Linked DNA regions of Oryza sativa Japonica Group. The protein of the gene in region 2 interacts with the protein of the main gene of each other region in a pairwise test. Links are inferred from orthologs where the notes say so. Each region holds a gene or a part of one and is shown on either strand. Other genes may lie near its edges.

Region 1 (5,157 bases), on a different chromosome or scaffold from region 2:
ATCTTAATAAAATAAAATTTGCAAGCAAAATTTTCTTTGGACCTTAGTGACCACATCCTATGGATGAGATGTTGCTGTCAGCAAAGAGCTTAAGCTATCTTAGTTCTTTGTCTTCACAAGAATGGGGACACCCTGCAGATCTTCTCTGAAGATGAGAAGGCACTGCCCTGTAATCTACATCTGAGCTCCCATTGGCTCAAACTCACCTGGCTCAAGATCACAACAGCACAGCCTGCATCCCAAGAAGAAAAAGAAAACTTCTTTTTTTTTCTCATCACAAGATCACAAAACTGCAGAAAGGAACAGGGAATGGAAAACGTCAGAATGGAATGATCCAGAGGGGCTAGACTAGTAGTAGTAGCTAGATAACCCCAAGCCGAGCTAGCAATGATCCAAATCCCACAGTTGCTTTCCTATGGCTTTGGATGTTGGGGGCACATTTCGTTTTCAGATTATGCCCAGATGCAAGTAGAGCACATGTCGTTTCAAATTATTCCGAAATATTACTGTCTTGAAAGAGATGCTAACTTCGCATTGCTCCAAAGGAATCGTATGCTCCTGTGTTTCGTTTCAGAAATAAAGAAATTTTGGTTTTTTGGCGCACCGTTTTCAGATTCTTTGAACTGGTATGATTGGAATGATTTTGCAGCCGATTCCAAGGGAACAAAACTAACCACTTCTTGTCAAATTAAAACTTGCACTTAACCAATACAATCATGAGAGTGATGACATGTTTTTTTTTGGGTGATTTCAGAAACAGAACCGTCAGGGTCACTGTTGGTGAGTTTGGTCTCATATGATGAAGTAAGCTGAATTGAAGAAGGGAGAATCATTTCTGGTCATTGCCCTGCCCCCCATAGAAAGAATTTTATGCGTATCTCCAATGCTAGTGGTGGGCAATACTTGGCATGGTATCCATCAAGGCATCAAGCACCATTGCTCATCAATTTTCATAAAAACATATTTATCAACTACATACTACCTTTCTAAAACAAACACTAAAAATATGCTTTGACTCTCAAAAAGGTTTCAAAGAACATTTTATCTAAGGATCGTTCCTATGCTTCACCGAAACTATATAGCTAGACAACATACAAAATTAGCTAAGGTGGAGCTGGTATACAAGGCCTGCGTAGAGGTCGGATTTAATCCATTGTCTTAAAAAAAGTATACAATGCCTTGTTATTAAAAAGTAAAAAGACATGGGAGATCCTAATATATAATGTTTTGTAAATATTTCTTCAAGATTTGTTTATGGTTTAGTAAAACTCCTCGGGAAATTCCAACAATATTTTGGGAAGATACCTTGACTAAGAAAAAAAATCCCCAAAGAACAAAAAAACACTCTACCTCAGGCTGTCAAAAACATGCCAGGATGGGCAATGTGATGAATAGTCCTATTGAGGTCTCTTTCTGTAGAGAAACTATCGAAAAACTAAATTTATGGCTTGGAGCAAACTCAGTTCAGAGTCATCAATTATATGTTTATCGCAACAGTGAGATGGGACCAACATCAGAAAGGAGAGAAGATTTCCTGTCCAATCTGTTTACATGGCATTGATGCACAACAATGTTCCCAAATAAACCAGACTCTATGGCATCAACAAATACCTCCAAAAATTACTTACTAGCATTTTTCCAATGCTTCCTGTGTAGGGGTCTGAATTTGACCAAAGATAACCAATGGAATCAACAGGCTGGTGCAGATAATTAGCTACCTGTTTAATAGATCATCTTGATCATTTTTTTGCAAAGAATTAACTACCCCAGCTAGATCCACATCAGTCAAATTATAATCCAGTATGAATAAAGTATATTACTACGACATCAACATGCATATGATGCATTGATGCATACAGTGATACAGGCTTACAACATCAGTTACATACTCTTAGGCTGTGTTTAGTTTCTAAAATTGGGGAGAAGTTTGGAGAAAGTTGGTAGTTTGAAAAAAAAGTTAGGAGTTTATGTGAGTAGAAAAGTTTTGGATACGATGAAAAGTTGGTAGTTTGGGGAAGTTTGGTGTGAAGTTAAACAGGCCTAGATAGGAGAAGAAAGTACAGAAGCAGAAACCATTAGTTTACAGAGCCCTAAGCTTGCAGCAGCAGCAGCAGCAGAAGTAGCAGAGAAGTGGGAGAGCGATGTATCCATTCCTGCAAATCCAAGTTGGCAATTCCGAGGGCCGACATATATCCCACTCCAAGGAGATCCGACAACGATGCCCAACCCAAGCAGCTTGCTTGCATCTCCATCTCCTCCTCATCGGAACTCCTCCTCCTCCTCCTCCATCTCCATTATTTCCACCCCGGCAACAATCCAACCGGACGCAGCCCACGGGCCTTGTTCCCTTCTCACCACCTCCAAGTACGCTTTGCGGGACACTCGCGGCAGCAAGAGTTCGTATACTCGCCTCTGCTGCTGCTGCACTGCCGCGCCTAAAGCTGAGCAAGAAGAGGAGACTTTGCAGCAAGAGTTGCTACTGTTTGGTTTGGTTCAGGTGAGAGAGGTCAACAATAGCTGTTGGCGTGGCTAGTTGCTTGTGCAGAAAAGGATTCTCTTTTGGTTTTGCCCTTTCTGAGAAGCTGATGATGATGTGGTGGTGGGCTATGGTTGTGCAGGTTGGGGAGCTACTAGAAGAAGGAGGAATAGCTAGGTTGGGTAGCTCAGCTTTGCTCTCCTTTTATTTTTTATTTTTTTTTCTGTTTGTTCCAAGGTTTCTTGCATCACTTTGCGGCTTATCTTGTTGGTTTTCCTTCTATTTTAAGGTGTAAAGTTTGTCTCCTTGTCTTGGTTGTGCTTGCTGTTCTTGTTTGTTTCAACCAACTTGTGCAGTTATACTTGATGCTTAATGCTTCTTTTTTTTTCTTTTTCTATGTGGTTTATGCAGGTTGTGAATTTCTTGGGGGGACACAAGAATCGTGGGATGGATGGCAATGCGAGATCGGCGGCGAATCAGACGAAGCAAATCGTGTAGAGATTTCATCTGAAACCCAAGAACGGATTCGTCTTGTGTTGTTGCCGAATGGTAGTGACCTGACCTGACTCTGTGTGCATTTGCTCCAATGGCGATTTGCAGCACGGACAACGAGCTGGTGGAGCTGCTATGGCACAACGGCGGCGTCGTGGCGCAGCCGCAGGCGGCGCAGGCGAGGGTCGTCTCCTCCTCCGGCCGCGGCCAGAGCGCCAGCGTGCTCACCGGCGACGACACGGAGACCGCCGCGTGGTTCCCGGACACCCTCGACGACGCGCTGGAGAAGGACCTCTACACGCAGCTCTGGCGCAGCGTCACCGGCGACGCGTTCCCGGCGGCCGCGGCGGCGGGGCCGAGCTCTCACCACGCTCCGCCGCCGGACTTGCCGCCCCCGGCGGCGAGGCCGCCGATGAGGAGCGGCATCGGGTCGAGCTGGACCGGCGACATCTGTTCGGCCTTCTGCGGCAGCAACCACATCCCGGAGACGGCGGCGCAGCGCTGCCGGGACGCCGGCGCGGCATTGCCGCCGGAGCGGCCGCGCCGGTCGAGCACCCACGACGGCGCCGGCACGTCGTCGTCGGGCGGCTCCGGCAGCAACTTCGGCGCTTCCGGCTTGCCCAGCGAGAGCGCCAGTGCCCACAAGAGGAAAGGCAGAGAAGATTCAGACAGTCGCAGTGAGGTGATCTTTTTTTTTTCGTTGGCTGTAACCTGCAACTTGCTATGCTTGAGATGAATTCTTGAATGAAACTGATGAGAAATTTCAGGATGCTGAATGCGAGGCAACCGAAGAGACCAAATCGTCGTCGCGGCGATATGGATCAAAGAGGAGAACTCGTGCAGCTGAAGTTCATAACCTGTCAGAGAGGGTGAGATCATCAAATACAGCTACTGATCTTAAGAGATAAATTTTTAGTAGTCATCCTAAAAGATGATACTGATGTAGAGAAGAAGGGATCGGATCAACGAGAAGATGCGCGCATTGCAAGAACTCATACCTCATTGCAACAAGGTAAGAAACATTATTATATATGCATCTTTTTTCTGATCAGGTGCAAGTCCATGGACTGATACAGCTATGTTGGTGAGTGGTGGCATATCTGATCTATCCTTTGTTGATATGATTCTCTTTTTTATTCAAACCTTTTGGGTTTACTTTACTAACTGCAGTTATCTATATATTTTTCAATTAGACCGACAAGGCATCTATATTAGATGAAGCAATCGAGTATCTGAAGTCACTCCAAATGCAAGTTCAGGTTTGAACTACTGTTTCTTGTATCTGAACTTACATGGTCCTACATGAGGCCAATTACTAGCACAGATTGAGATTGTCGAATCTGTGCCTCAGATCATGTGGATGACTACTGGGATGGCACCAATGATGTTCCCTGGTGCTCACCAGTTCATGCCACCAATGGCCGTGGGCATGAATTCTGCGTGCATGCCTGCGGCACAAGGCCTAAGTCACATGTCAAGATTGCCATACATGAACCATTCTATGCCAAATCACATCCCTCTAAATTCATCTCCAGCTATGAACCCAATGAATGTTGCAAACCAGATGCAGAACATTCAACTGAGAGAGGCAAGCAATCCCTTCCTTCACCCAGATGGCTGGCAAACAGTGCCACCACAGGTACAAAAATACCATACTGACAAAGGGAATTTTCAGGCCTCTTTGATTGTTCACCTAGATTAGGCATTGGTCATTTGCAGGTATCAGGACCATATGCTTCTGGGCCTCAAGTAGCACAGCAAAACCAGATACCGAAAGCGTCAGCTAGCACTGTTCTGCCAAATTCTGGGGCTGAACAACCACCAACCTCTGATGGAATTTAGAATGACCAGAAACATGTAAGCACTTGCACCAATCAGTACATCTGCCTATTTACTTCAAATGATGTTGAGATAACTAGAGCTGCGTATCGCTACTTGTATGTATTACTATTGTTTTCAGCCAATATATCTGTATTGAACACGATCGGCAATTTGTGCCGTCACTTTTTGTCAGCTTAAGCTTTCAGAGCAACTAGGTAACATGAGGACCTATGGACTTACCCATATCATCTGTAGTCTGTTTGTTGAGCTCGAAATGCATGACTAGATGCATAGAATATGAAGCCATCATCGTCCAGCTTAAACTTTCACAGTAACCTGTTAGTTCATGCAAGCTAACCAGTTGTTTT
Region 2 (5,380 bases):
TCTCCAATCTATATACAACATATTACTCCGCCGTGCTGCATCTATTTTAGATATCATTGGATTTATTGTAGTTGAGTTTAGAGCAAAACTGGTTGCAATAATGAGTTTAATCAAATTGAAATGCTGAAAATGGCTGTAAACTTCACTCTTTTGAAAGAAACCGGCCGGTTATTTAAAGAGAAGAAAAAAAAAGAGAAATGCATTTGCAAAATTCTGACAAATAGTGCATAAAAGAGAACTAAACAACCGAACAGAGAAGAAACTACAGGGACCCACTTATAGCTCTGATACATCAACACTCAGTAGGGAGGACTAGATCGACGTTAAAACAGTGTAGAAAAAAGATCATATATTATTACATGAGTCAATTTTAGAATGTCCTGGCTATTCTTTAGTTCATACATTGTAATTTATCATTGAACTAATTCATCCTCATAATACGAAGGTGATGGGTCTGAGCTGCAGTCAGCTCTTGCCGATTGGACTGGACAGAGAACTGTTCCTTGTGTCTTCATTAAAGGGAAACATATTGGTGGCTGTGACGGTGAGTTCCTTGTTCTTAATTTGTCGTGAACTTGTGATACTAATGTCATCGGACCAACAACATTTTCATGCATTTTTATCGCTGTTTAACTTTTTTCTGAACAAGAAAATCGCTAGAACAAGGGTCACTTAGGCCAGAGTTTTTCTACACTATTTTAACGTCGATCTTCATTGATGTCTTTCAAACAGATACCATGGCGATGCACAAAGGAGGGAACTTGGTCCCTCTGCTGACGGAGGCAGGAGCAATCGCCACTCCTTCCCTGTAGATAAATACCTTTGCCAAAACGTGTTTGTGGTGTGTCAATGTCATAGAATAAAGGCGAATATATATGGGGACTTCCACTGTCAGAACAACTTATTGCTGATAGTAGTAGCTTTGGGTGACTTTCAAGCCTGTATGCAGCACTACTCTAGCTAATAACTCATTTTGTATGATTTCATTGGTAGCAATAAATATGATTAGTGCGTCCTGTGAATGAGACTGATGACATCGGCACTCCAAGCTCCTGCTACTGGCTGCCAGCCTGCCTCCAGATTTTTGAGATCGAGATGTTGTTGTGTCGTCACTGATACCAACCATCCACTCCTCTCGGTGGAAGAAATACAGCCAGTGAACTGGAGGAAACACCCTTCGTCAAAATGATTGTTTTGCCTGGCCATAGTTCAGAGCTGCAATCAAAAATCTTGGTTGTGTTTACCATTCTGCTGAATTACTGAATTACAGCGCTGGTAACAGATCAGTAAACAAACGACAGCGCTGTTAACGCTAAACCCATTTTGCAGCATCGCTGATTTGCTGCCGGAGCCCGGAGGCCACCACGTACATCGCCAGTGGCAAACAAGAAAAGCAAAGCTACAGAAAAAGCGCTAGGCCGGCGCCACGAGCCGCCACCACAAGTCCACGACCAGTCGCTCTCCGGATCGGCGTAGTGGCAATGGGCATCCCAAGTTGCCAACACGGGGAAAAAAAAAACACCCCCCATCCAGCTGCTGCTCTCTACCGGCCACTCGTCTCGTCCGGTAGCTCAAAATCTTTTACTCATCAGCCCAGCCACCACCGTATCGCCATGCTGCCCATCAAGGTCTGTACTACGTGAAAACGTGAGAGCCGCGTTTCCCTCTGGATTTTTCTCCGCCTTGGCACGTCCGCGGTGGGCTGGCGCGGCTTTCGTCGTGATCCGCAACGGAGGGCGGGGACGCGGCCACCGTGGACGCCGCCGCACGTACGTGGGCGTGGCGCTCCCACTCCCACGGCACCACCACGGCACCACCTCCCTCCGCCTCTCGCGTCGTCGTTTCCACAGTACTACTACAGTAGCGCGTCTCCCTGGCGTTCGTTCGCTGGCCCCCAGCTCGCGCGCGTGGCGGCTCCCGTATCGCACGGCCACGGCCCCACCACGCCCGCCGCCCCTAATCGCATCCGCGATTAAGATATTTCCGTGCCAGGTAGGCGTAGATATTTTCTCACCGAAATCACACGCCGCCAGGCCGGGCCCATCTGGCTTAACCACGCCCGGCTCTTCCCCTCCATCCAACCTGGCCCTCCCACCCACGGGGCCGCGGCTCGCGGCTCGTCCCGTCCCGTCCCGTGACGAATCCATTGACACCGGCACACGCACACGCACACCCGCACCGCGCGACGCGAGTACGCGACACAAACCGCTCGCGACGAGCCGTTTCGTTTATTTTTACACCGCCCCGGCGCGGCGTGACGAGGCCTTTTCTTCTTTCTTTCATCTCTCGCCGAGCCGAGCCGAGCCGAGCCGCGTGCCCCACCGAGAGAGGAAAGCAAAAGGTAGGGGGAGGAAAATATCCTGTGCCAGTAGAGCGGACACCAACGCCGCCACCACCACCGCCGCCGCCTCCTGAATAGATTAGGCGCGGATAATGGTGCGGGCCGGACCGCAACGCGCGGCGGAGGAGGACGCCGCCGGCGTCGGCGGCGGGTGGCGGCGGTAGCACACTGCTTAGCCTCTGGGGGCGATACTACTGGCGACGGCACGGGATATGGAGGAGGAGGCGCCGCCCGCAGATCCAACAACCGCTTCGTCCTCCTGCGTCGTCTAGTCTAGGCGCCGGCAGCTGCTGCTGGCTGCTGTGCTGTTCGTGCTGATTCGGACGCGTCGGCAGCTGGTGACAAGTGGCTAGGGGGGGAATCCGTGCGGGTCGGGGTATGGTGGGCGCCGGCGAGGGGGATCGCGTTGGCGGCGGGGCGGCGGTAGGGGGAGGGCAGCAGTTCGTGGACCGGAGCAAGGTGAGGATTCTGCTCTGCGACAGCGACCCAAGTAGCTCACGGGAGGTGCTCCGCCTCCTCTGCAACTGCTCATACCAAGGTCAGTTCAGCTTTGTCTGCTTAGTATTTGGTTTGCTCTTATAATTAAGGATTAAGATTGCTTTAGTAGATGAATTAGCAGTTCTATCACACCTTCTCGCATGGAATGATACGTCTTTGTTTTTGTTTCAGTGACTTGCGCCAAGTCTCCGAGGCAGGTGATCAACGTACTCAACTGCGAGGCGGGGGAGATCGACATCATCTTGGCCGAGGTCGATCTGCCCGTCTCCAAGTGCTTCAAGATGCTCAAATACATCGCCAGGAACAAGGAATTGCGCCACATCCCCATCATAAGTAAGCTGTCCTCCTATTCCTCTGATGCCCATGCTCGTAGGGTTGTTGTAGTGACCATCCTCATCTTTGATGCGAATTATGCAGTGATGTCCAACAGAGACGAGGTCTCTGTTGTTGTCAAGTGCTTGCGTCTCGGGGCAGCCGAGTACCTGGTCAAGCCACTGCGCATGAACGAGCTGCTGAACCTCTGGACCCATGTGTGGCGGCGAAGGCGGATGGTAAAGGGGACTATGTTGATTCATCTTCAAATTCTGTGTTGAAAAGCATGCTCTAAGCTGAGATGGCTGTGGCGTTGCTGTAGCGTGTATGAGTTGATCTTAAGTTGAATGTTGGTGTTGGCAGCTTGGTTTGTCGGAGAAAAACTTCTTCAATGACAATTTCGAGTTGGCGTTATCGGAACCTAGTGACGCCAATACCAACAGCACCACTCTTCTCTCGGATGACACAGATGATAAGCCAAAAGAAAACATTAATCAAGAAACAAGCACCTCGAATCAACATGAATATGAGGTAACCAATCAAGTACTAGTTATCCTTTTATATTTTGCTGTCCAACATACTACTTCTCTATTTAGTATCTTTCTACCTTTGTGTTCTGTTTAGATGCTAGAGCATGCCTTTTTGCCTCATATGTTCAATTGATGATGATAAGATGCTGAATTTTTTGCATCAGTCTACTTGTTAAATGCCCTTGCATTTCTTGATATGTTTGCAGTCTAATCCTTCTGATGCTGAGCCTAAACAAAAAGGCACACCAGAGGGTTTACTAGTCTCTACTGAAGGCGGCGACCAAGCTTGTAAGTATCTTGAGCCTTAAACCATTTCCTTTAGCTGATTTAGCAGATCCCCCAATTGAAGAATAGTTTCTAAGGTTTATGCCTTTGCTTTTATGCCAGCATCTCCCGGAGTAATGTTTTCACGTCCAATAAAGACTAACTTGAGGGTTGCTGAGTCTTCTGCTTTTCTAGCTTATGTTAAGTCAAGCACCCCAACTACCAGCTCATTTGACAGCGAACTACAAAAAGGTGGAAATCGGTTAGACTCTTCGGATCACAGGGGTAATTTCTCTAGTACAACTGACAGAAGTGACACTGGCACTGATGTAAATATTCGGGATAAAGAAGCCTTTGAGATGCCAGTGCAATACCCTGTGGTATGCTTTTCTTCCTCTAACTTGCATCTGGAGCGAAGCAATGAAGGCCAAAATGATGCTTCAGGAACTCCTCCTGTATATCATTTTCCCTTTTATTACCCAGGGATGATGGACCACGGTATGACACATCCTCCGGTGCAAAATTTCCAAGGGAACATAAACAACGCTCAAGTGCATACACCACAAACGTTGCTCCCTCAGTATAATGTTTATCCCCAATGTCATGGTGTATCTATGATGCCACCATTTCAGTATAATCCTGCTGGTATGAGCATTCAATCAAATCAACTGCCAACACAAAATATGTGGCCACAGGCATCAAGCACACCAATGCCCGAGGAAACATGTAGTCGGTCTGAACGGAGAGCTGCAGCACTTGCCAAATTCAGGCTGAAAAGGAAGGAACGTTGTTTTGACAAGAAGGTGAGGTACGTGAATAGGAAGAAACTTGCTGAAACAAGGCCGAGGGTGCGAGGGCAATTTGTTAGACAGGCAAACTATACAGATATAACCAGCACTGGAGATGATATCTCAGAAGATGAAGATGATGATCCATCCTCCAGGGAGGTAGAGATGGTTTCTTCTCCAGAGTAGTTTGAAAGGTTTTCCTATATGTAAAATAGAGTGCAGATGATTACTGCTCACTTTGCAACTCATTAGATGTAGGCAATACATTTCTTCTGCTTTTAACTAGGCAATACATCCACTCGCTCACACACAATACATCCTTTTTGTCCCCCAAGGAACTTGTGGCATATCCATCACTGTTACTATGGACGTTTTGGAGAAAATCATCTTTGAAGGTGAGATGTAATTATGCTAGTTAGTGATGCATAGGCCAGTCTAGATCGTAACCATCTTGTTTCAGAATCTTATAGGACTTTACTCAGTGCTCCTTCTTAGACACGTTTTTACTTCCATTTTCTCGATGTTGGAGGCTGTCCATGTTTGAACATCGTGTTCTACCACAGAAGTCGATTTTGGAGGTTGTACATGTTTGAACTTTGTGTTCTATCACAGAAGTTTGCGAGCACCATTGAAAACAAGGACACTAG

The links.
Region 1: the proteins of two-component response regulator-like PRR1 (region 2) and transcription factor PHYTOCHROME INTERACTING FACTOR-LIKE 13-like interact in a two-hybrid assay, tested with the Arabidopsis thaliana proteins (3 studies listed by BioGRID). The link is inferred for Oryza sativa Japonica Group from reciprocal best matches to the Arabidopsis thaliana genes TOC1 and PIL6.

What each region holds. Positions count from the first base shown.
Region 1 is NC_089037.1:33,401,728-33,406,884, forward strand, and holds the start of transcription factor PHYTOCHROME INTERACTING FACTOR-LIKE 13-like, read left to right. Parts: upstream 1-1,749; 5' UTR 1,750-2,218; coding exon 2,219-2,497; intron 2,498-2,618; coding exon 2,619-2,765; intron 2,766-2,887; coding exon 2,888-2,970; intron 2,971-3,076; coding exon 3,077-3,650; intron 3,651-3,735; coding exon 3,736-3,837; intron 3,838-3,914; coding exon 3,915-3,980; exon of another isoform or gene 3,981-4,052; intron 4,053-4,161; coding exon 4,162-4,227; intron 4,228-4,319; coding exon 4,320-4,607; intron 4,608-4,687; coding exon 4,688-4,810; 3' UTR 4,811-4,825; intron 4,826-5,157. UniProt on the Arabidopsis thaliana protein: Transcription factor acting negatively in the phytochrome B signaling pathway to promote the shade-avoidance response. Regulates PHYB abundance at the post-transcriptional level, possibly via the ubiquitin-proteasome pathway.
Region 2 is NC_089036.1:25,049,925-25,055,304, forward strand, and holds two-component response regulator-like PRR1, read left to right. Parts: upstream 1-2,093; 5' UTR 2,094-2,719; coding exon 2,720-2,879; intron 2,880-3,010; coding exon 3,011-3,172; intron 3,173-3,256; coding exon 3,257-3,390; intron 3,391-3,514; coding exon 3,515-3,682; intron 3,683-3,887; coding exon 3,888-3,969; intron 3,970-4,068; coding exon 4,069-4,919; 3' UTR 4,920-5,191; downstream 5,192-5,380. Other genes in the region: glutaredoxin-C4, chloroplastic, read left to right, coding at 446-544, 733-812. UniProt on the Arabidopsis thaliana protein: Controls photoperiodic flowering response. Component of the circadian clock. Expression of several members of the ARR-like family is controlled by circadian rhythm.